Medicago truncatula: one gene and its partner. The protein of the gene in region 2 interacts with the protein of the main gene of each other region in a pairwise test. Links are inferred from orthologs where the notes say so. Each region holds a gene or a part of one and is shown on either strand. Other genes may lie near its edges.

Region 1 (10,553 bases), on a different chromosome or scaffold from region 2:
ATTACATTGACCTTCCTTTGATCCCCATAAAACTTAGCTACCATATATTATATCTCTTTGAAGCATCCCCTCTACAGTTTGTAACAGCTTATCATTTTGTTGGAGGATAAGAGTAGCCTTCATCACTGGTTTCATAAGAACTTATTTTCTTGTCCAAGAAGAGACTATTTTCTTTCCAACCCTTAATTTCTTCCACACTCTCGAATGTTGTTGACAGTGAAAAAGACAACCTTTTTTTACCTTCCAAAAACAATAGGCAAGCCTTTATATGTATTTTGAGATTCCTCCGTCATTACTTTGATGCTCTTACAAATTACTTATTTATCGAACACATTTTGACTAAAGGAAACCTCAAACTTGTCAATGTTTCCCCTGTCCAAAAGCCAGCTAATTGTGAGAGAGCATTAACAGTAGCATTTGCTTCCATAGTAGAATACCATGTCCGGTCATCAGATATTACCTCCCCAACTTACATGCACCGACAGCCAAATATTGAAAGTTGGTGAGCATGAGTTGGTCGATTTAGAGAAAATGTAAAGGGAGTCACAAGCACAAATAAATGTTGTTAGCTCTGGCATTTCTACTTCAAAGCAACCAATATCATTGTTTCTCATGCAAAATTTAGAATATATACATAATACCTGACAAATTTTTACCATTTTCAGATATCATCAAAGTTGTAAGCAATCAGTTATTGAATAGATAATATCAGGGTGAAAAATGTTCGCAATATGTTACAATGTTACATTTTTTTCCTTTCACTTTACATAAATTAAAGCATAGTCGAAAACCTATCTTGGCACTTGTGATTGTTGAAGGTCATAAGGATGATGTAATGTTGCTCCATATCCATACTGTGGATGAACCTCAACCCCACCTTGGATCTGAAAAAGTTTACGAATTTAAATTATTCATCTGCCTATCATTGTTTTATAGAAGTCTCGTGATTGGGAAAGAGAAGACAATCCAATATGAAAACAAGATATCCCATTTTCATGCATGCATTTAGCAGACATACTCTATAACCAAGTTTTTCTTTACTGGACAGAATTAAGGGGGAAACGGAGCAAAGTTGTCAAACTCTCGAGTTGACTCTTAAACTCTTAAGAGTTAAAGATTCAAGGTCACAAAAACTAGTTAAATCGCATGTAAACAATCTTTTTGATAAACTCTTACAAGTTCAGGTAAACTCTAATAAACTTGATAAACTCGCGATTTTACTGGTAGTTTACGATTCTACATTGATTTGACCTTAAAGTGTAAAATTTTGGTTAATATTATTTGATATTGATTATTCATATGCTCTATAATATATATTGATTTAAAAGAGTAAAACTTTGGTCAATATTATTCTATAATAAATATTTATCTATTTAAAACTAATTATGCTTTGTTATTGAGATGAATTGTTGAATTATTTTTATTTTAATGATATTATATTATTTACATTACATATCTCATATCTATGTTATTTTAATATTAGGTAAACTTCTACAAATTTATTAGTAAAGTTTACCTAGACTCTCGGGTTTGACAACCTTGAAACGGAGCATACTTGCTGCTACTACCTTCACCTTGTAAATTACATATATCTTCTTAGAAGTAGGTTCAGTATGTCTCTTTTCTTTCAGATAAATTATGTTAACAAACATCACAATATTTTTCATTCATCAATAAAAGACAATGTTTGTCACATGATTACTTCGAGATTATACTTAACACATGAAAAGTAAATAAAATTAGTGATTAATGTCGCAACGTACCTGATGCATGCTATAAGAATCTTGAGGATATGTGATTCCACCAAACCCCATTTCAGGATTGTTTGCATGATATCCAGGACCTGCATAGAAACCACTCCAAAGATTCAGAACATAAACTTCATTCAAAGTCTCCATTTATATTTCTGTTGCATTATAAAGTAAGCACTTCAAGGTGAATGGGCAAGAAATTCAAATTACTTGGAATTGCAGCAGCAACCATTGCAGCCCTTGCCCTCTTTTCTGCATTAGCCAGCTCAGCACGTAATTTTTCAACCTCACGGGTCATGATGATCATATTGGTGTCCATTACCCGGTTGTGCTCAAGGTTATTGGCATGTGTCTTCTTCTCAAATTCAATAGCACTCCTACATGAATCAGTGAATAAAAGTTAAAACATGCCCAAATCGAAGTTTAAAATGCCCAATGGTAAAGACTGATTTTTTCCCTAGCATCTGACTAGGTGCTCCAAAAATGTAACAAGAAAAAACAGCAGGTATATTTGGGAGGAGCGCATTTACAACATCTAGATGTTCAAATTAAATGTTATTTTGGTTAGAGTTTGATAAGCAACAGAACCAACTGCAGACTTCTATATTAGAAATCAGGGTAAACAAATAGCACAAATAGCATTGAGATATAAATCAGACATGCTTCCACAGACTTAACAAGTCATAACATAAGAATAGTTTTTCACATGAACTGGTCCGTCATTTAAGGGGGTACAATAGTTTTTCAATTTGATAGTATTAAAATAAGACAAAGTGAATAACTTCAACCAGTAATCAGATAAATGAATCAAGACTCGGTCATGATTCTAACAATGTGAATGAAACAAGCAAATTAATTTAGTCTACAGTTTTCATTGGTTTACCTCTCCCTCTAACTATTCAACAAACCTTCATGTGAACTACTCTCTTCTCTAGAATTTAAATAGGTCTTCTCAGAGCGCTCCTTTATTTCATCCAGCTTGAATGGTTTACCTCTCCCATTAATTCCCCATCATTTTGTATGGTTTCTTTCGGTAAGCAAATGAATTCGTTGAGTTTTGAAAAAACTGAGCACAAGTGCCACAGACCAGGGCAAAATAATACAAAAGGGTGCAGCTCAACAGAACACAATCCCCCACAAGCTAAAGTGACAACAAACAATGCAAAACTAGCCAAGTAAAGACACCACTATAAATGTTATAGCCCTACAGACACCAACTATACTGGGATATCAAGTCACACCATTGGTCTACATGGAAAATAAACACGAGAAACACCAGAAGTCATCCCACAGTAGCAAATACTTAAAGTTTTACGTGGCCGAAACCACCTGCAATTCTATGGACCACTCAGATACAACCATCCAGACCACAAAAAACCACCCAGCACTTTAATTTACAGAAAACCCAATCCAAGCAACCCATCTTACAAAACAAATTGAAAAATACCAATGTTATCAAACGCAGATTGCGGAAAATAGTGATTTGTTCAAATTCCGCTAGGCTACAGTGCTATAGTGCCGCTACTTGACACCACTTTGTACAAAATAGAGTATTGAAAAACAATAGCGGTTTGTTCATATTCCAACACGCTATAGCCGCAATTTGACAACACTGAAGAATACAATATATTGGATTCATGCACCAACATGAGAAAGGTAATAAAAGATCCTCAACCTTTACTTTAATACATAACCAGGTCTGGGATTTAATAAGGTTGACAACACTGAAGAATACAAGATATTGGATTCATGCACCAACATGAGAAAGACAATAAAGGATCCTCAACCTTCACTTTAATACATAACCAAGTCTGGGATTTAATAAGGTTTAGTATATTAGTCATAGCAAATTTACCATCATTAAAAATGGTATCATTCCTCATAGCATATTCATGTCACCATCTAGACCAAGATTTTTCCTGAACTATATATAACACGCATAGTTTAGATTAAAGGTGAGTTTGGTGTCCGACACAAGTAGATACATTCAATCACTTCTATTTAATAAAATAATATCATCTCTACAGACTACATGTCAGTGGTGTCGTTTGGTGTTCCTGTTTGTGTTGGTGATTCATAGCTAATTACTAAAATAAAATTAGTTACAAAAATACTTCATTAATCTTGTTTAGTCTTTAGTCTGATGCACCTCAAGAGTGAATTGTCCAAAATTTATACATACTCAAAATCACCAATGTTCATGCTTGATCACGTGAGGGCTACCTTGCCGGTGATGTACCGTGATCAAGGTCTGAGAAAACTGCTTGCGTGGTAAAAGGTGAATGGGTTAGGGTTTGCTTAAGGACCCTGTCATGGCCCTTGATCTCGGATAACTGCAATTGCCACTCACCCCAGTATTATCCGTGATCGTTGCTGCTTGATTGAGCAAACAGCACTTGCTTATGTGCTGGTATGACTTAGTCTCTCCCTGGGACACAAGTCTATGTCGGTATTGATATTATCTATTTCGGTAATGGGCCTGTATACCTCAGCATTGGGCCTATGTATCATGGCTATGTAAGGACCGAGTAAGTTTATAAAGGATATGCCGGTCCAACCAATGTTGACAATAGTGGATTACAAAAAATAGCAGCTCAATCAAATTCTACTACACTAGGGCAACTATAGCCGCTATCTAACAACACTTTGTACTAGATATCATATTGCTAAACAATAGGGATTTGTTCATATTTTGGAACACAATAACCGCTACTTGAGAACTGAAACAAACAAAAACCCAAATACATTCAACAATCAAAATCTAAAAGCTTCAACTTTTGTGCTTCAATTCTTTTTTGAAACTCATTCTTTCTACATGCCACCAATGCGCAAAAAAAAAATTAACAATTGTTCTCACATCACAACACTAACAAAGCAAGTTCTCCCTCACATTCACATTCACATTCGCATATGATTCGATTCAATATCAATTCAAAGCCAATAACAGCACTAACACAACGAAAATTTTACCTTCCTCGTTGAATCTCATGGCGCAAAGCTTCAATATCAACTTTAATAATCGGCAATGGCTTCAAATCTTCCCTTGCCAAAGCAAGCTCACTCTGAACACTCTGCAAATGTTCCACAAGCTCCTTCCTTACCTCCGCAAGTTCCCTTACATCAGCCCTTACCTGATCAAGATCAGACTTCATCGCCGCAACGGCACGTACCTCAGCATCCATCTTAAGCGATTTCTCGTAGATCCGACGGACCTCGGCGTCTCGTTCGGCTTTGACATCGGCGGCAGCGGCGGAGAGCTGACGAAGCTCTTGTTGAGTGGCGGTGAGGTCTTGTTTTAAGGCGAGGTGAGTTGTGGCGAGACGTTGGTTGTCGTGGAGGAGGGTTTGGATTTCGCGGTGGCGGGTGGTGATGCGGTCTTCGAGGGCGGTGGTTGAGGTGGAGGAGGAGGAGGAATGAGAGAGACGTGGCTCGTCGCGGCGGGAGAGAGAAGAGTGAAGATTATGGTGGTGGTGATGTTTGCGTCCTGCCATTTGTAGTTTTACACGGACGGGGAAGAATGGATTAGAGGAGTGACTCTGGTTTCAGGCTTCACTGCTACGGAGAAATTTCGTTATTTCATTCCCTTTCAATTCAAATGGTTTACATAATTTTTCCCGAGTAAATACCAATTACCCTCTCGAAATCGTTACTTTCGTCAATCATTTCTCTCTCGCATTAACAAAACATCAATTACTTTTGAAATTGCACAATTAATCAATTTATCCCTCCGTCAAATTATTCGTTTAGTCAACATAACGTTTTGTAAATACCCTTGAAATTTTGACACTTTGCAAAATGTCTCCGAATTTGAAAATTTATATTTTTTTACTTCTTATACTTCACTCAAGATATTAAAAGTAAATAATTATCATTTAACTTTAATGAAACTGAATAGCTGTTTCTTCTGCACTAATGATTTTCTATTTCATTCTTATGTTTCAATATTATCATGATCTACTTAATAGGCTCAACTTCAGTCCCTTAACATTTACTTACCTACTACTTTTTTTTGTTGCAAAGGCAAAATATACTTATACTATTAAAACCACAGCCAAGCACAATGAGACACAAGATGTGCAAGAATGAAACAAGAAGATAAACAACAACAATGAGACACAAGAAAACTCCCAAAACCCAACAATATGTGAAATGAATTTCTAATTTTGCTGACAAACTAATGCATCTCCAATTTTAATCCAAAGCTAAAGCAAGATTTATGAGACTATTGCTTAATCTAAGAGGTGTATTTATTTACTATTCATTTCATTCTTTCATATCTATGTGATTTCAAAATAGTGGATGATGCCACATGGTAATGAATTATATTGCTAAATGATAATAGTGTATATTGTTACTTGATATAATTTTCACAATCAGATAAGTATTGCAGACTAAAACCATTAGAAATAATTTCATCTAATCATTGGTTAAAAAAATATTATCTATTCTATTTATAAAACAAAACATATCAATTTAAATATGTAGCTAAGCTGAAAAATATATTATACATTTTTTACAAGAATATTTACCACTATGTTAATTGTTTGTCTTTAATATCTTTTGAGTTAAGTATAAGAAAAAAAATCAAGTTCGGGGGGCATTTCGCACATAAGTGCAAAACTTCAGGGGGATATGCAAAACATGATATTGACTAACAGAAGAATTTGACGGATGATGTAAATTGATTAACATTGTACAATTTCATAGGGGTAATTGAAGTTTTGTTAACGTTAGGGTGGTAATTGCCGAAACTTACAATTTGAGGGGATTAATTGCCTAAAACATTATTGGTGATGTTTACAAAATTTTACAGATGCATCATCTGATAATATGTTGTGTTCACGTGAGCTTAGCTCAATTAGCAAGGACAGTGCACAATATATGCAAGATCCGGGGTTCGAACCTTGAACACCACAAAAAAAAAATCCGATAATATGTTGTGACTTTGTTTAACGAGTCAAAAAGACATGACTCGTCATACCTCATCAAATAACGTGACAACATTTGTAAAATTTGAGTACACCGATGATGCATATAAATTAAACCCAACACATTAGCACCTCCCTTGGCGAATAAAAAAAAACACCTCCTTTGTAAAAATAATTTAATAAACATCAATTTATCACCTTTTTGTTAGACGTCTTTTTTAGATCAGGTGTAGTATCGTATGTTTAGGTTTATTATGTCAGGTGTAGTATCATGTGTTTAGGTAGTTGGGGTGGGAGTTAGTTTTACCTTTAGATTTAGCTAATGTTCATAGTTTTATATCCAAATTAGATGTCATGTTTATTATTAGAGTAAATGGTCACTTTGTAACTGACTCTGCACAGATCTCTGACTCAAGATTAAATACAAAGTAATCATTGAATGTGCATTTCTGTTATCACTTTAGTCCCTAACATTAAATAATTCTGTTAACCGATGACGTGACAAATGTTTTATGCTGACATGACATATGATGTATCACAAGAACTAAAGTAAAAGTAGAAAATGGTATGGTAACTTTGGTCCCTGAAATCGAAGATCATATCCCAAATTGAATCTTTAATCTCTAAATCCTGAATTCAATCCTCAAATCCCTAAATCCCCAAATTGCACCAACACTCAACATCATGTAATTCGATTTTGGCGTTTAATGCAAGATTTGATTTTGAACAAAATAGAGAATTGTATGACATTTAGGAATTTGAGATTTAGGAATTTGGGGATTGAATTTAGGATTTAGGGATTTGTGATTCAATTCGAGGATAGTGATACACAAGCATAAATGATTTAATGATTTAATTAATGGTAGAAAAAAGTTAATTAAGTTGTCCGTTGAGAATATTGAGGGCATGTAGTAGTAAAATCTAGGTGTGGGTATTGGGTTATGATGGATGAAATGGTGGATTTCGTGGAAAAGTGAGAAAATAAAAGGTATGTTATGGTTTTCAAGGAAAACAGATGTAGTAACGTTGCATGTGCAGGTTTGCTTTCACATTGAATCAAAGCTAGCTATTTCAGTGAGAGAGGAAGAATAAAAGAGCTTCAAATCTTTCTATTTGTCCTTCTCTGTTGAGGTGGATACAAAAATGTTACCCTTATATCTTAATTATTATGATTCCTTTAACAATTTGCAATCCACTTATTATATATGATCATCTTGAATCTCTGAATTCGTTTTCAAAATTGAGAGACCACTCAATTTTGTTTTGCGAACAAGACTACCTCAACTTGGTTGGTTTCTAAAAAAAAAAAAACTTGGTTAGTTTCTTTTAATTTGATTGAAACTAACTAAGCTAGGTAAGAGTCCATACCCCATGCATTCTAACGAAATTTGACGAAATAAGAAACCACTTACCATACTTGGTAAACATAGGTAAGGTGGTAATAAAGAAAATAGATGAAAGATAAAACTAGCATTTACTCAAATACTAACCGGTCATCTATATGCTTAGTCGTTTTTTTTTTTTGTGCGAGAGAAATGCTTCGTCGATTTCCCCTTTAATTTAAGGAAAATTCTACAATGAAGTCATGAGAATGATTTATCTGGTGAAGTTAACACTATAACATCAAAAGTGTTGTGAGTAACACCCCACTATTTATACAATGACATCAAAAGTTCAGTCCTCATAGTATCATCAATTCATCAGATTAACAAGAATACACTTAATCTAATTTTATCCTACTTTGTTTTAAGTGTAACACCTCACAAAGTGTAACACTTAAGACTATCACATGATATCAGCAACTTTGTTTGCATGTTAAAGATGTCAACAATAAAATAGTATCTATAAGTTCAAGATGCTGCAAGTATTACTAGATGAGTTACTATTAATCATTAATCAGTAATCCACAATTTAAAAATGAATCAAACATTAAAATTAAAATTAACTTTTTTAAAAAAAGTCAGTTTCATGACCGTAGAGCTCCCTTAATTTAATTGTAGTTTTGATCATAATATTTTCATCATTTTACAAATTCAGTCTCCCTATTTAAAAATCTGATAATTTTTTTTGTCCCTTCATCATATTTTTTTAACTAAAAAAATTAATAACGTGGTTTATGATTCGATGATAGGAAGAAAAAAATTGATGACGTTATAAAAAAAAAGTTGTTTAAAAATTTTATTTAAAACATATCATATTATCATATTTTAAACCAAACATTTGATTGAGGAATTAAAACTATCAAATTTCAAAATAGGTGAATAAAATCCTTAAAAGAATATAAGTAAGGGGATCAAAATTGACACAAATCACAAACCAGTTTATCATATTCCACTTCTTCCCTTCAACGTTTGTTCACATCTTTGTCTCTTAAATTTGACACGCTCTACCTATTTTCTGGTATATCCAGATTCCCATCTTTCGGCTACCAAAATATCACATCATTATTTTTCTCTGTTTCAAGTCGTAAGTGTATATACACGCAATATTTTAGTAATTAAATATTTTATATGATAAGACTGAAAAGCTTAAATTTGTTTACTTTTATTAAAAAAATGAGACACTCTGTGGTTTAAATTTACGGTTGATTCTACTATATCTTCTACTAGTTCTCTAATATTATGCATGGGAATATGAACGTACAGTTCGATGCAGCTTTGATGTTGTGATGTTTATTTATTTTTTTATTTGTAACAACTAACAAGTTATGCAATGAAGAAGAAGATGAAACTGGTAGAATCAGAAAACCTCCTGTATGGAGCAGAGACTATATCTTAGGAAGAGAAGCAGAAGAAGAAGAAAGCAGTTTTCAGACTCTGGCTTTTTCAGTAATAGAGAAGATCCTGCTACTTATGAGGAAGCTGCAAAGTTCAATTGTTGGAAAGAGGCTATGGATCAGGAAATTGAAGCCATAGAAAGAAATGATACCAACTGGAAGCAGGAAGATTAGTGTAAAATGGATTTATAAGACAAAATACAATGAAAATGGTAAAGTTGAAAAACACAAAGCCAGATTAGTAGCAAAGGGGTACTCTCAAAAGTATGGAGTTGATTACAATGAAGTTTTTGCTCCTGTAACCAGATGGGACACTAATAGAACTATACTTTGTTTGTTAGGCAAGAAACTGGAGGAAAAATACTTACCGTAAGTTTGTATGTAGATGACTTAATCTACACTTGAAATGATGAAGAAGTGTTTGAAGAGTTCAAACATTCTATGGAAAATAAATTTTCCATGACAGATCTGGGCAAGATGAGGTATTTTCTTGGTGTGGAAGTCAAGCAGATGGATAGAGGAATATTCATTCATCAGCAGAAATACGCAAATGAAATTCTATCTAGATTTGGTATGGAAAATTGCAACAAAGTATTGAACCCCATAGTCCCTTGAAACAAGCTGTCAAGAGATGAAAAGGGAAAAGTTGTGGACTCTACTCAGTACAGGCAGATGATTGGATGCTTGATGTATTTGCTGGCCACTAGACCTGATCTTACCTTCTCAGTTTGTCTTATTGCTAGATATATGGAAAGACCAACTGAAATTCACCTAGCAGCTGCTAAGAGAGTAATCAGGTACGGGTACCTCAGAGGAACAACCTTGTTGGGAATCATGTATGAAAGAAAAGTAAGTGTTAAACTGCAAGGATGGACATATTCAGATTATGCTGGAGACATTGATGACAGGATATGTCTTCAAATTGAGTTCAGGGTCAGTGTCATGGTCCTCAAAGAAACAACCAATTGTTACGTTGTCCACTACTGAAGCAGAGTTTGTAGCTGCAGCTTCTTGTGCTTGTCAAGCAGTTTAGCTCAGAAGGATCCTGGAACAAATTGCACTGTCATTCAGTGTGATAATAGTTCATCTATTAAACTG
Region 2 (10,911 bases):
AAATTTAACTTGCTATCATCTTTGATTAACTGAGACAGCTCATAATATTCTAATTTATTGAAATAAAACTTAAAAGAGGGATGCGCATGCTACTGCCTTTCTCAACAAGGAGATATTAGAAATTACCTCTTTGAACATTCGAGGATTCTCTCTTGAGAAAAAACGTTCCTTCATTTTCGAGCTCCTCATCCTGGGCACAATCCTGCGCAGATTTCATCATTTCCATAAAACTCTGGTTCTTCTGTCCAGTTGTCCTGTTGCAACAAGTGCAAAATGTTCAGCATAAACATATATTAAATTAAAAAAACCATCTTAAAAGGCAACTATTCCGAGTAAAAAAGTTAAAATAAATTGTACAGATTAATATGACTTACTGAGATGAAGAGCGAGAGTTGAAGCTGCCATGATGATTGTTAGAAAACGATTGAGACGTTCGCTCCTTCAATGTCCACTGTCCTAACTTAGCAGCAGAATCTGACACATAATAAAGTGCTGCAAAATGTTACTACCGTCGCAAATACTATGCAATTGATATTTGATCATTGTTATTAGTAGTACAACATTTTTTTTCCTCAAAATCTAACTAGTTAACGTTGAAGTTGACTTGCTAGACAGGTAATCCGCCACGGTCTATCTAGTGTCATTCATGTGTATGAAGAACGTCGGAGAAAATAATTGGAACAAATGTTGTAATATTAATTTATATAGCGACGGAATTAAGCTGACTTTCATCCGTGGTGTGGACAAAAGGCATAATTTCACGTTACAAACAAAAACAACTAAAATTGGCAAGGAATATATTTTGAGAAAATAAGGTAAATAATTACAGGTATGATTGGATCATTTTTTAAAATAATGTGTCAAGTATTAATTATATCATAAAATCAATAAAGCCCTTTCAATCAGTTATTTTCATGAATGAATCCGGTATGAGAGGCAAAACCATTGGCGAAAGAAAAAAACTAACACTTTATATTATCACTTCAAAAACCATTCTAGTAATAAAAGCTACGGTTTCTTGGGGTATTATTAGCCAAAGACTTTTAGACAGAGTTGTAGTGTTTTATTTACTTGAAATCATAAGAAAATGCAGGAAATTGACGCCCCAAACATTTTCTATCTTTATTACTTTCATATTTTTATCTTAATTTTCAAATTAAAGTGTTAGTTAGTATCTTGGGGTTTGTTCATATATATGTAAAGAGTGTAGAAAATCTTGTCATATTATTCTGATTTGTGCTCAATTTATATGGGATGTTTAAAGCATAGTGTAGGCTGCTTTAATGGGTTGAATTATCCTTATTATTCTCCATTTAAATAATCCTTCTTGCTTGATTCAAAATAAAAATAAAAAATATATACTTCTTACTTAACATCTTCAAAAAATATTTCATGGTTACCTCCTATAATGGGTTTATCCCCAACATTATTCTCCTTTCCTGTCTTTCCCTTTCTAATCTCAGACTCTTCCCACAATGTGAAACCGCTTGAAGTATGTGAACTGCAATTGGAGTTGTCGTCATTTCTATCAGCACTAGTTGCTTGATGCACAGTGAAAAGTGATGATGCTTCTGGCTTTGGAACCCTTTGATTATTATTCACGCAGGAATTAATGTGGCTGATACTGTAAGTCCCAATTCCTCCAGGTAAGAGGTGCTCAACTGAAGCTGGTGTTGCTAAAGGGGGTTGCTTCTCAACCACCGATGAGATTTCATCTGTGGCTTCTTCCTTGGCACTGGATTTTGCTTCTACCTCCTCTAGTGGCCGCAAGAAATCATGGGTCTTGAGGAAACTTGCTGTTCATGCATGAAAGAAGGAAATAATGACATGCAGGTCAAGGGAAGTAAAACAATTTCCTTCATATAACCGAAATAATTTTGAAAATAAAAAACGCACAAATACTGCGAAAAGCTTGCTAACGATTCTGTGAAAAGCTGATACATATCGTTTTCATTTCTGTGCATGAAGCAAAAGACTCGTGAGCATATGCCAAGTAAGTGCATTAAATAGTGCGCAGGCAAGTAATATTAACTTTTTCCAGTTTTCAAAACTATTTTCTAGGATTCGCAAAATATGAAATAAAATACAATACAATTTTCAAGTGAATATGAAATAATTATTACATCACTTTTTTTTATTTTTGCAAATATTGCATCATCTTTTAAATAGTTTTATGAATCTAATTTGTTTTATAGCTTAATTTTGGTTAAAATGTGACAAAAAAATACAACAACAAATGTCAAATTTCTTAGTAAAATTAACTTTTTGTTACTGCAACATACACTTCTTACATACACGTAATATAAATCTTGTTTTTGAAGTAACACATCAGTGCTGAGTTCTGATTTACAAACATGTTTAAATTAAAGTTATCAAATTTTAAAAAATGAATCACTTTAATATTAAAATACAATCCTCAAATCCTGTTTGTTATAACTTCCATATATTATCATTTGTCAAAAAAAACATTTCATGAATTAGTAATTAATTTGAGGAATTTATTTTAAACTCTACTCTGTAATATTTATTTAATTATTTATAGAATATTAGCTATTATTAGTTAATAATGGAAAAATGAGGAGAATGAAAGGATACATTTTGTTAGTCAATTACTAAACATACTTGTAAATTTTCCTTGGAAATAAATTTTTCAAATAATTTTAAAAAAAAATGATCTTATATATTAAAACAATTGAAAGTTTGTTACAATGGTCCATATGAAAGAAAGTTTGTTACAATGGTCCATATGAAAGAATATAGTAATGCAATTATACTGGTTTTTTAGCCCAAAATTAAAACACCAATTATATTCGTTAAGGATCTCTCACAGTATAGGGTACAAAATATATATTGTTTTAACTTATAGATTTCCTAAAATGCAAAAAGAGTTAAACATGTGCATGTTTTGTTAGTTTAATAACACGAAGATTAAGTGCATTTAAATGGGATGATAACTATTTCTTTCAATTTAACCAAGGTTTGAATTCAAAATTTCTTTGTAAGGATAACTTTCTCATTTATTATGATCATATTCAACGAGATTAATCACTATTGTTGCATGAAGAGATACTCAATTTAAAAATAAAAAATAAAAATAAAAAACTAAGATTAGAGAAATAATAAAAATGCATGCCTTTCATTTTCATTCTCTTAATTAAGATCTTAACGCTGGTGAACTGAGATTAGTGTAATTTTGCAATCGAAAAGAACAGAAAAACTACACCACACGCACACGGGAATGCCAATCCTTATCGAGCCTGATGTGAAATGTCAAATCAACTACAAGTCCAATCAAATTGGGCCCCCACCCATCCTCATGCTGCACACTTTATCGGACGGTGTAAAATACATTGTGATTTACACTTTTCCGTTTGATGTTAAATCCTTCGGAATCCACCATAGGAAATTTTGTTAATTAAAAATAATAATAATATAATTAATACGCAGTCCATAAATAAGAAGCATGGCCCAGATCCTGTGATTAAATAGAGGTCACGTGCAGGAACAAGCATGATGTATAACTGCTTTTATTTACAGTTGAATTATTTGGCAGAAAATTGACCGTGATGAATTTATAATACGATATTTAGGTTTGCACCATGATCCCCACGTCACAGAAAAAAACATGGCAACAACATAGGAAAGAAAAATCTCACACACCGAATCATTTTGCATAATAATAACCAAAAATTAAAAAACAAATTATACAGTACCTTGAGCAGATGGCCTTGGATCTTGTTCGGCAGTTGAATTACTGTATAGCGACAGAAAATCATGCGTCGATTTCCTCCCTGCTCCTGTTTCCGCACAGAAAAGTTTCAGAAAACCTCATCCAAACAATATTAATTCAAATCAAGTTAATTATTATTAATTTCCTTTTTCAAAAAAACAATAATATAACAAGAAAATTATAACTACCTCCAGCTCCATAAGAACGTGTTTGAGGAAGCTCCATCAATACTTGAATCTCAATTTTCTTCTCTGGTACGTAATTCAACGTAATTTTGAAATTCGGTCAAATCTCATAGAACACAATTCTGCTACCGCTTTTGAAGACTGAATTATCTCTGAATTTTGAAGGCAAAACAGGGATGGAGAATTCGCTGCTTCGATCAGATCCGAATTTAATAGAAACCGTAATTCTCTTGTTAGGTTGAAGATCGGAGACACATTCGTTCAGTTTAGTTTACGAATTACTGTGAATTCAAGCACTGCGTCCTTAATCGCCAATCAAGAGCTTACGGTTCGAATTATCGTTGTAGATTATCTTCGAGTTGTTGCTTATGCAATGAAACTTTCGTAATTGACTTCCACGAAGGTCGTTCGATAATCACAATTTTACTCCAAAATCTACAATCACAGAGCTTCCTATTAAAAATTTCACAGAATCAGAAATCAGACATTACAAAGAAGAATCATAATTCAAGTTCAATTCTACTTCAAAATTCAACACGTTTTCAGTTCTGATTAGACTAAACACAATAAAACTCATGAGCATAATTCGGCTTGAAAAATCACTAAACTCTAGAAAATTCAGAAGTTAATACATCAAAAAACTGAAAAAAGTAAAGATCCAAACAACGAATTACTAGTGCGTGCGAATTTCCACTAAGAAACAAGAAATTGAAAAATAAGTGAATTACCGTAATGATAATTGAGTAACTGAAGTGATGAACCAGAAGAAATTGAGAATTGAGAAGCGACACTTGAAGCAGAGCACGATGTAGAAGAGATTCTTCGAGCGCTATCTTCTCTGTGTGCCGCGCTTTTTCTTATAATCACTTTTTCTCTATCGGTTCTTATGTTACTCTGAAAACGAGCACTGCAGCGAAAGATGAGGTCTCGGGTCGGACCCTTTAACTTTCTCTGTTGAGTTTGAGAATTGATATTGATATATAATTGAGATGAAAGATGTTTTTATATACTTTCTCTCTGCTCTCTGTGTTTTCGCCATCCAGTTTTATTTGCTTTCTATTCTTTTTTTTCTCCGTTAAGTTTTAAACTCCGTTTACATACGACGTTGCGGCGGGTAACGGAGTTAAGTCAATAATTAACGGTTTATTCTGTGTAAACGTCGCCGTTTCTTCAAACACACGGTAAGCAGAGTGAAAAACTTTTAATTTATCTTTGTTTTCTGCTAACACTTTTTCTAATACTTCGGCAATCCCTAAGCAGATGTAGTACTATATTTTTAATTTATATTTACGCAATCCGTGATCCCTTATTACGGAATTAATTAGGTCGTGTCAGTAAAAATATAATACTGTTATTTGTGTCCTGGATTTTCTTTAATCCATAAGATACATATGTAGTACTAGTGCAGTACTTCCACAGAAACATTTATCCTATATCAGGGTCAGGGTGAATGTTGAACCAATATATGATTTTTTTAACAAATATAAGAAGAATACGGTGTAATAATTGCATCGTAAATTTTTTATATCAAATGTTCAATCTTAAATTAAGAATCGAGATAGTTTTCAACTTTTATTGTTCGTTGATATAAATTGTATGATTTTGTGTTGCTTTTCCTACATGAAGATATTTGGATATAAGATGTAGTCAATATTTTATTTGAGTTTGAAATTTTTTTTTTTCAAATGAGGGTCTGTTTGAAGAAAAATAGGGGATAGTTGATAAACCATTTAATAATATGAATTTGTATCGAATAGTGGATAAGTTAACTCGATGAATTTAATATGTTTGATAAAGTTGACGATTTAACTAGTTAATAAATATAAAACGACACAACAACGTGACTTTTAATTAATATTTAACATTTCTCAATAAATGTATAACTTGGATAATGTTTCATAGTTGGTCAAGTCAAATGATTTTATAAAATGCTTACTAAAGAAAAGATGGAAGAATCGGTTGTTCATTCATAACTTGTTTAAAATAAAGTTGCTTATTCAGAGGTGTCGTTATTTGCATGACGGTTCCTTAAACACATACTTTCTATAAAAAGATTATTTATTTACGTGTGGTGTCATTAATTGGTCGAGCATTTCTAATGCTCTTTAGAATGTTGCTTCTTTGCATGCATATCAATTTAGAGGGTTTCATTCTAATAACAAGGAATCTCAAGCTTGTTTTCGACATACAAAGTCGACGTGTGCATGAGACTTTTAAAGAACGCAATAAACGTCTATTTGATCATAAAGAACCGATATCTCGTTAGATTTTAGATAAAGTGAAAGTTTAGATTTCGTGGTGGATTAAATCTAAGACTAAAAGTTTCAAGTATGTATGGTTTGAATCAATGGTAGTTTAATCCACTAAATTTTCTTTGTTTTGTTATTCACTGAAACAACATTTGGTGTGCTGTTTCTTTCCGTTGTTTTAGGTTTTATTTTTCTAGGTCTCGATTGTTCTTTCTTCTATTTGATACACATCTTGTGCTATAATAAGGAAAATACAAAACGGAAAAACATTAGACCAAAAAATACAAAAAGGAAAAACATTAGACCAAAATTTAATATCTCCTGCGCATGTATGTATAAATGTTCTCTTCCCAAGATGAGAATACTTTGGTTTCCATCGTTGCACTAAAAAGGGTATATGTCAAATTCGATTTTTATCTTACATACATGAAATTTTAAGGAAAGGCAAATAAAATAAAAAGAGTGTAACGTATTTGTCAAAAAAAAAGTGTGTGATATAGTAAATTTAGTTTAATTATTTTTGAAATAAAATGAAATTTCATTGTAGATGAATATTCATCGTATCAAATAAGAACATACCCCTATCTGTTGCAAAGAAAAAATGAATATAGTCATGCTATCTCATAATAAGTGATTCATTTATAAAACTGAATGTCTCTAGTTGATAGATCCTTTTCAATTTTTAATAGTATCATTCAATTATTAATATTATTTCCAACACTTCTAATGTGTGTGTGTTATATTACAGGTCTAAGAGATCACAAAATAGCAAACAAAAAGCAATATTATACAATGAAATAAAAACAACTGTAGGCAAAATCAACTCCCAACCCAACCATCTAAAAAAATTATACCGCACCCAAGAAGCAAAGTCATTAGTGAAAATCAAATGGCTATCAGGCTCTTCCAGATCCCCACAAAACATCAAGGAAATACAAATGAGATCCATTATTAACCTTTGTTTCCACATACAACGGCGAGTAGAAACTCTATCGTGTAGGATCTTCCAAGAGAAAACAATTTGCTTATAAGACGTTCGTCTATTTCAAACATTCGCTAAAAATAGTACTTCCCGAACGACCATCAACTGAGATGCTTATGAAAGCACCGAGTACATTGAGCTAATTGAGTACAAACTATTGGCATCATGCTTCCACAATCAAAGATCGAAAACATTTGAGGGGGATAAATCTAATAGAATTGCCATCAAATTGGTACCTAGCTTTTGCTCCAAAGCAAAAAGTCATCTCTTCCATCTAAAGTACCACACCAAGGAATCCCCATCCAGTTACTCTAAAGCCTAACCCTAAAACGTTTTTATTCTAAAACCAAGAAGAAACTTTGAAAGGGGATATTTCAGGTTACCGATCTCACCCAAGGATTGCTTCTGAAGAAAGTATCTCACCTATTGCAGACCACCCTAATTACCCATTTTGAGAACTAATATGAGGTAGATGATGCTCACCTACTGTGACACTTTTCCACCAAACGGATGATGCTCTTATCCCCACCCCGACGACCCTCCAGAATAAATCCTCCAACACCGCTGACATAAAAAGGTCATATTAAACAGACTTAATTCCCGCACTCCAAGGCCTCATGTACACTTAGTCTTGCAAACCTTAAAGCAATGAACTCGTGAAAACTTGGTAGGCCTCCTATAGACGGCCTCAAATTAAAATTCTCTGGAGACACACGATCTGTTTCCATTATCCACACCTTAAACGCATCTTGACAAAAATAAAGGCAAAATATAGGGATAAAATTAACGACAAAATTAATTAAAGTTTACCCCACCCAAACTAACAAATTAGTTGCTCCACGATCTATAAACAAGCTTGATCCGGGCGATCCTAAAGTCACCTCTTCGCTCATATCATCCCCCTAGAAGGCCCATATACATGAAAGGAAAAGACAAAGCGTAAAATTCAAGTACCACTCTTCCCAAGGCTTTAAATCTAAAGGGGCCTTAAAATTTGGAAGAAAAAATAGAACTTGTACCTGGGGCCAAAATTCGTCACTAAATATCTTTTTATCGTAGGTAAAAGTCTTATGTTGTCAATTATGCATTTTTCACAGATAAATTCCTATATGTCTGTAGGTAAAATCCATGTTTAAAACATTGCTCTTATATTTAACTACAACTTAGGCTTTGTTTGCGAGTTTGGAAGAGAAGGGAGGGGAATGCTTGGGAAAAAAGGAGTGAGCAAGTGGAAGAAATAGAGGAAAATGGGAGGTAAGGGTTTTAGAGGGTTAACTTTTCTTCATAATACAAAACTCTCCTCATTTGGGGAAACTTAAAAATTGTATTGAAGGAGGGTTTTGGAGAGTTTATATGAATTCTTCAAATTTAATTTATGTTGTTATTAAATTTTTAAAATTAAATATATAGTAATCTTATGCATTAATTTATCATTCTCTAAAAAATTCTCTTTAAATTTTTCGAAAGATTTCTCCATTATTTTCCTTCACATTTTCCATCATCCAAAAACTTCTCTTCCATTGTCAGTCACCATAAGTGATGTTATTTTTTTTTCTTTCAATTTTGTTTGAAACGAAAAATTATCAAAATTTTAACATGATCTCCGAATTATATTGGATGTCCCAGACTCTACCATCCCCAATAAGGTTACATCCAAATTAACATCTGTGACACAACTATTAACAAAATAACATGTATACCGGAGATTAGACACCACCAAACCCGATATCCCCAGCTTGAACCTTGTGATCCCAACTTTATCTCTGTTTTAAACAAAAATATTATCTCAAACATTTTTATACATGAATAATTTAGCCTTCTATTTTGTACCTAAAAATTAGACTTTTGTTATAATTATACTAAAAAAAATTAGCTTTCTATTATATTACTCAAAATCAATAAAAGATTAATTTCTTGTAAAAAAAAGATTAATTTGTACCCTAAAAAAATAATGAACTTGTCTCAGGTATAAAATTACAAGGAACTTTATGGATTATTATTTTTTGCGAGAGACTAAATTGAATAACGGAGAATCAAATTGGGTATGACCGTTTAAAAAAAAGATAGAGGTATTTACTTATTTTAAACAGTAAACAAATAATTATTTGTATTTTAAAGACATATGTCAATTAAATACCATGAATCATATTTTTTAGGTAACTTATATAAAATTAAAATACACACTAGCAATACATTTTATAAACATGTCATTTTTTATTATATTTTTAATTGAAATTATATTTTCTTACTATAAGACATTCGCAATAACTACTTTGATGCCAAAAAATATTGTACTACTAGTAGTAGTAACTGATAAATGCAAGAAGACAGTCTTTTTCTTTCAAAAAAAATGCAAGAAGCCAATCACGTGGGGAGAAAACGTGACCAGAACAAGCGTTGACATGGGAACGGAACAGTGAGCAGTTGATGTCCTTAAAATGAAATTAAGGAGATAAAAATATGGATACGATGATTAGTGCACAGATCCCAAGCAATATTATCCAACTAAATTGCATTTAAATTTATTAAGCTAAACTCTACTACCATGAGTAAAAACATTTTTCTTGTTTTATTTTTTATTCACAAGATATAGAAAATGAAGAATGAAGCCAGAGAGGAAAAGCAGTATGTGTTGGTAATGAAGGAAGAAATGTCACGTGATGTACCATCTCTCATCAGGTTTCTCAATATTCTGAAGCATGGAAATTGATCTTTTTAGCTGTGCCGTCAAATACGGGATTCTTTTTTTAAAGGGTCTCTTAGATTAAACAATGTTATTGATCAAAAAATAATTAAACAATGTTGTTGATCATCAACAATAATTAAACAATGTTATGTATGTTTTTGTTCTTTACTTTCTCTACATGCTTTGCCCTATGCCTCCATGTGCAAGGTCCTCAAGATTCTCTCACACTCATTCATACCCACCACATACATGCACAATACATGTACTTCCACTAATTGCGGTTTTTATATACGCAATTAAAATGTAACGACACATATGGTTGCTTGCTTCAAAACATGTACTTGTATTCCCCATTCTTTAATTAGGGTTTCCATAAATGATAGTATATTATTTCAGTATGGCTATATCATTTTTGCTATTTATTTAATTTTTTGTCACCTTTCATATTAATCCACGCATTTCATTTTCTTAGTTTAATTTATCATGCATATAATTGAAAGAAACGGCTCTTTAAATATAATAATCTCAATATTATTTATAAATTTGTCACATTCCTAAGTTGATTATGTAGTGGCATGTGAATTTAAAACCTATGTGTCGGACTTTCTTCTCTTTCCGCCGGCCAGTAAGCTTCTCCTTACCTTCTTTTGTTTTGTTAAATCGTGTTTTATAATTATTTCTTTCACTTTGAATTAAATAAACAAATATCAATTGATCAATAGATTAATGAAACGATTCTTTAGCTATCCGGTAATCATGGCGAGCATTTACGTTGTGATGCAAAGATACAATAGGACAGCGAGGAGTGACGACGATATCTTTATCTTTCTACTTTTCCTTTTGGATAATTAAGTTTTTGTTTAAGGAGGATAAATGTTAAAGTTGCAATGGGTTATAGTAATGTATTTGGTTATATATGCTTTTTAGTTTATAGTTTACATCTTACTCCTCCGTCTTAGAATATAGGACATTATTTGTTACAATGATTCCATATATATACTATGAGTATGCTGATGTTTCAGTTCACCACTATAGAAATGAGATAGCTATTATTAGAAAATACATTTTTTTTTTTAGGG

Evidence for each region. The genes of interacting proteins can lie anywhere in the genome.
Region 1: the proteins of transcription factor BIM1 (region 2) and protein FLC EXPRESSOR interact in binary tests that used the Arabidopsis thaliana proteins (3 or more experiments, as listed by UniProt). The link is inferred for Medicago truncatula from reciprocal best matches to the Arabidopsis thaliana genes BIM1 and AT2G30120.

Annotation. Positions count from the first base shown.
Region 1 is NC_053046.1:32,259,741-32,270,293, reverse strand, and holds protein FLC EXPRESSOR, read right to left. Parts: upstream 5,362-10,553; 5' UTR 5,243-5,361; coding exon 4,722-5,242; intron 2,129-4,721; coding exon 1,962-2,128; intron 1,844-1,961; coding exon 1,764-1,843; intron 1,575-1,763; coding exon of another isoform or gene 1,517-1,574; intron 885-1,516; coding exon 792-884; 3' UTR 768-791; exon of another isoform or gene 643-767; intron 642-642; 3' UTR 626-641; downstream 1-625. UniProt on the Arabidopsis thaliana protein: Transactivator required for FRIGIDA-mediated activation of FLC and for the expression of the repressors of flowering AGL27/MAF1 and AGL31/MAF2. Does not alter expression of known activators of FLC expression.
Region 2 is NC_053045.1:53,844,133-53,855,043, forward strand, and holds the start of transcription factor BIM1, read right to left. Parts: upstream 4,932-10,911; 5' UTR 4,644-4,931; intron 4,369-4,643; exon of another isoform or gene 4,351-4,368; 5' UTR 3,956-4,350; coding exon 3,919-3,955; intron 3,798-3,918; coding exon 3,714-3,797; intron 1,797-3,713; coding exon 1,401-1,796; intron 475-1,400; coding exon 375-474; intron 255-374; coding exon 127-254; intron 1-126. UniProt on the Arabidopsis thaliana protein: Positive brassinosteroid-signaling protein. Transcription factor that bind specifically to the DNA sequence 5'-CANNTG-3'(E box). Can bind individually to the promoter as a homodimer or synergistically as a heterodimer with BZR2/BES1.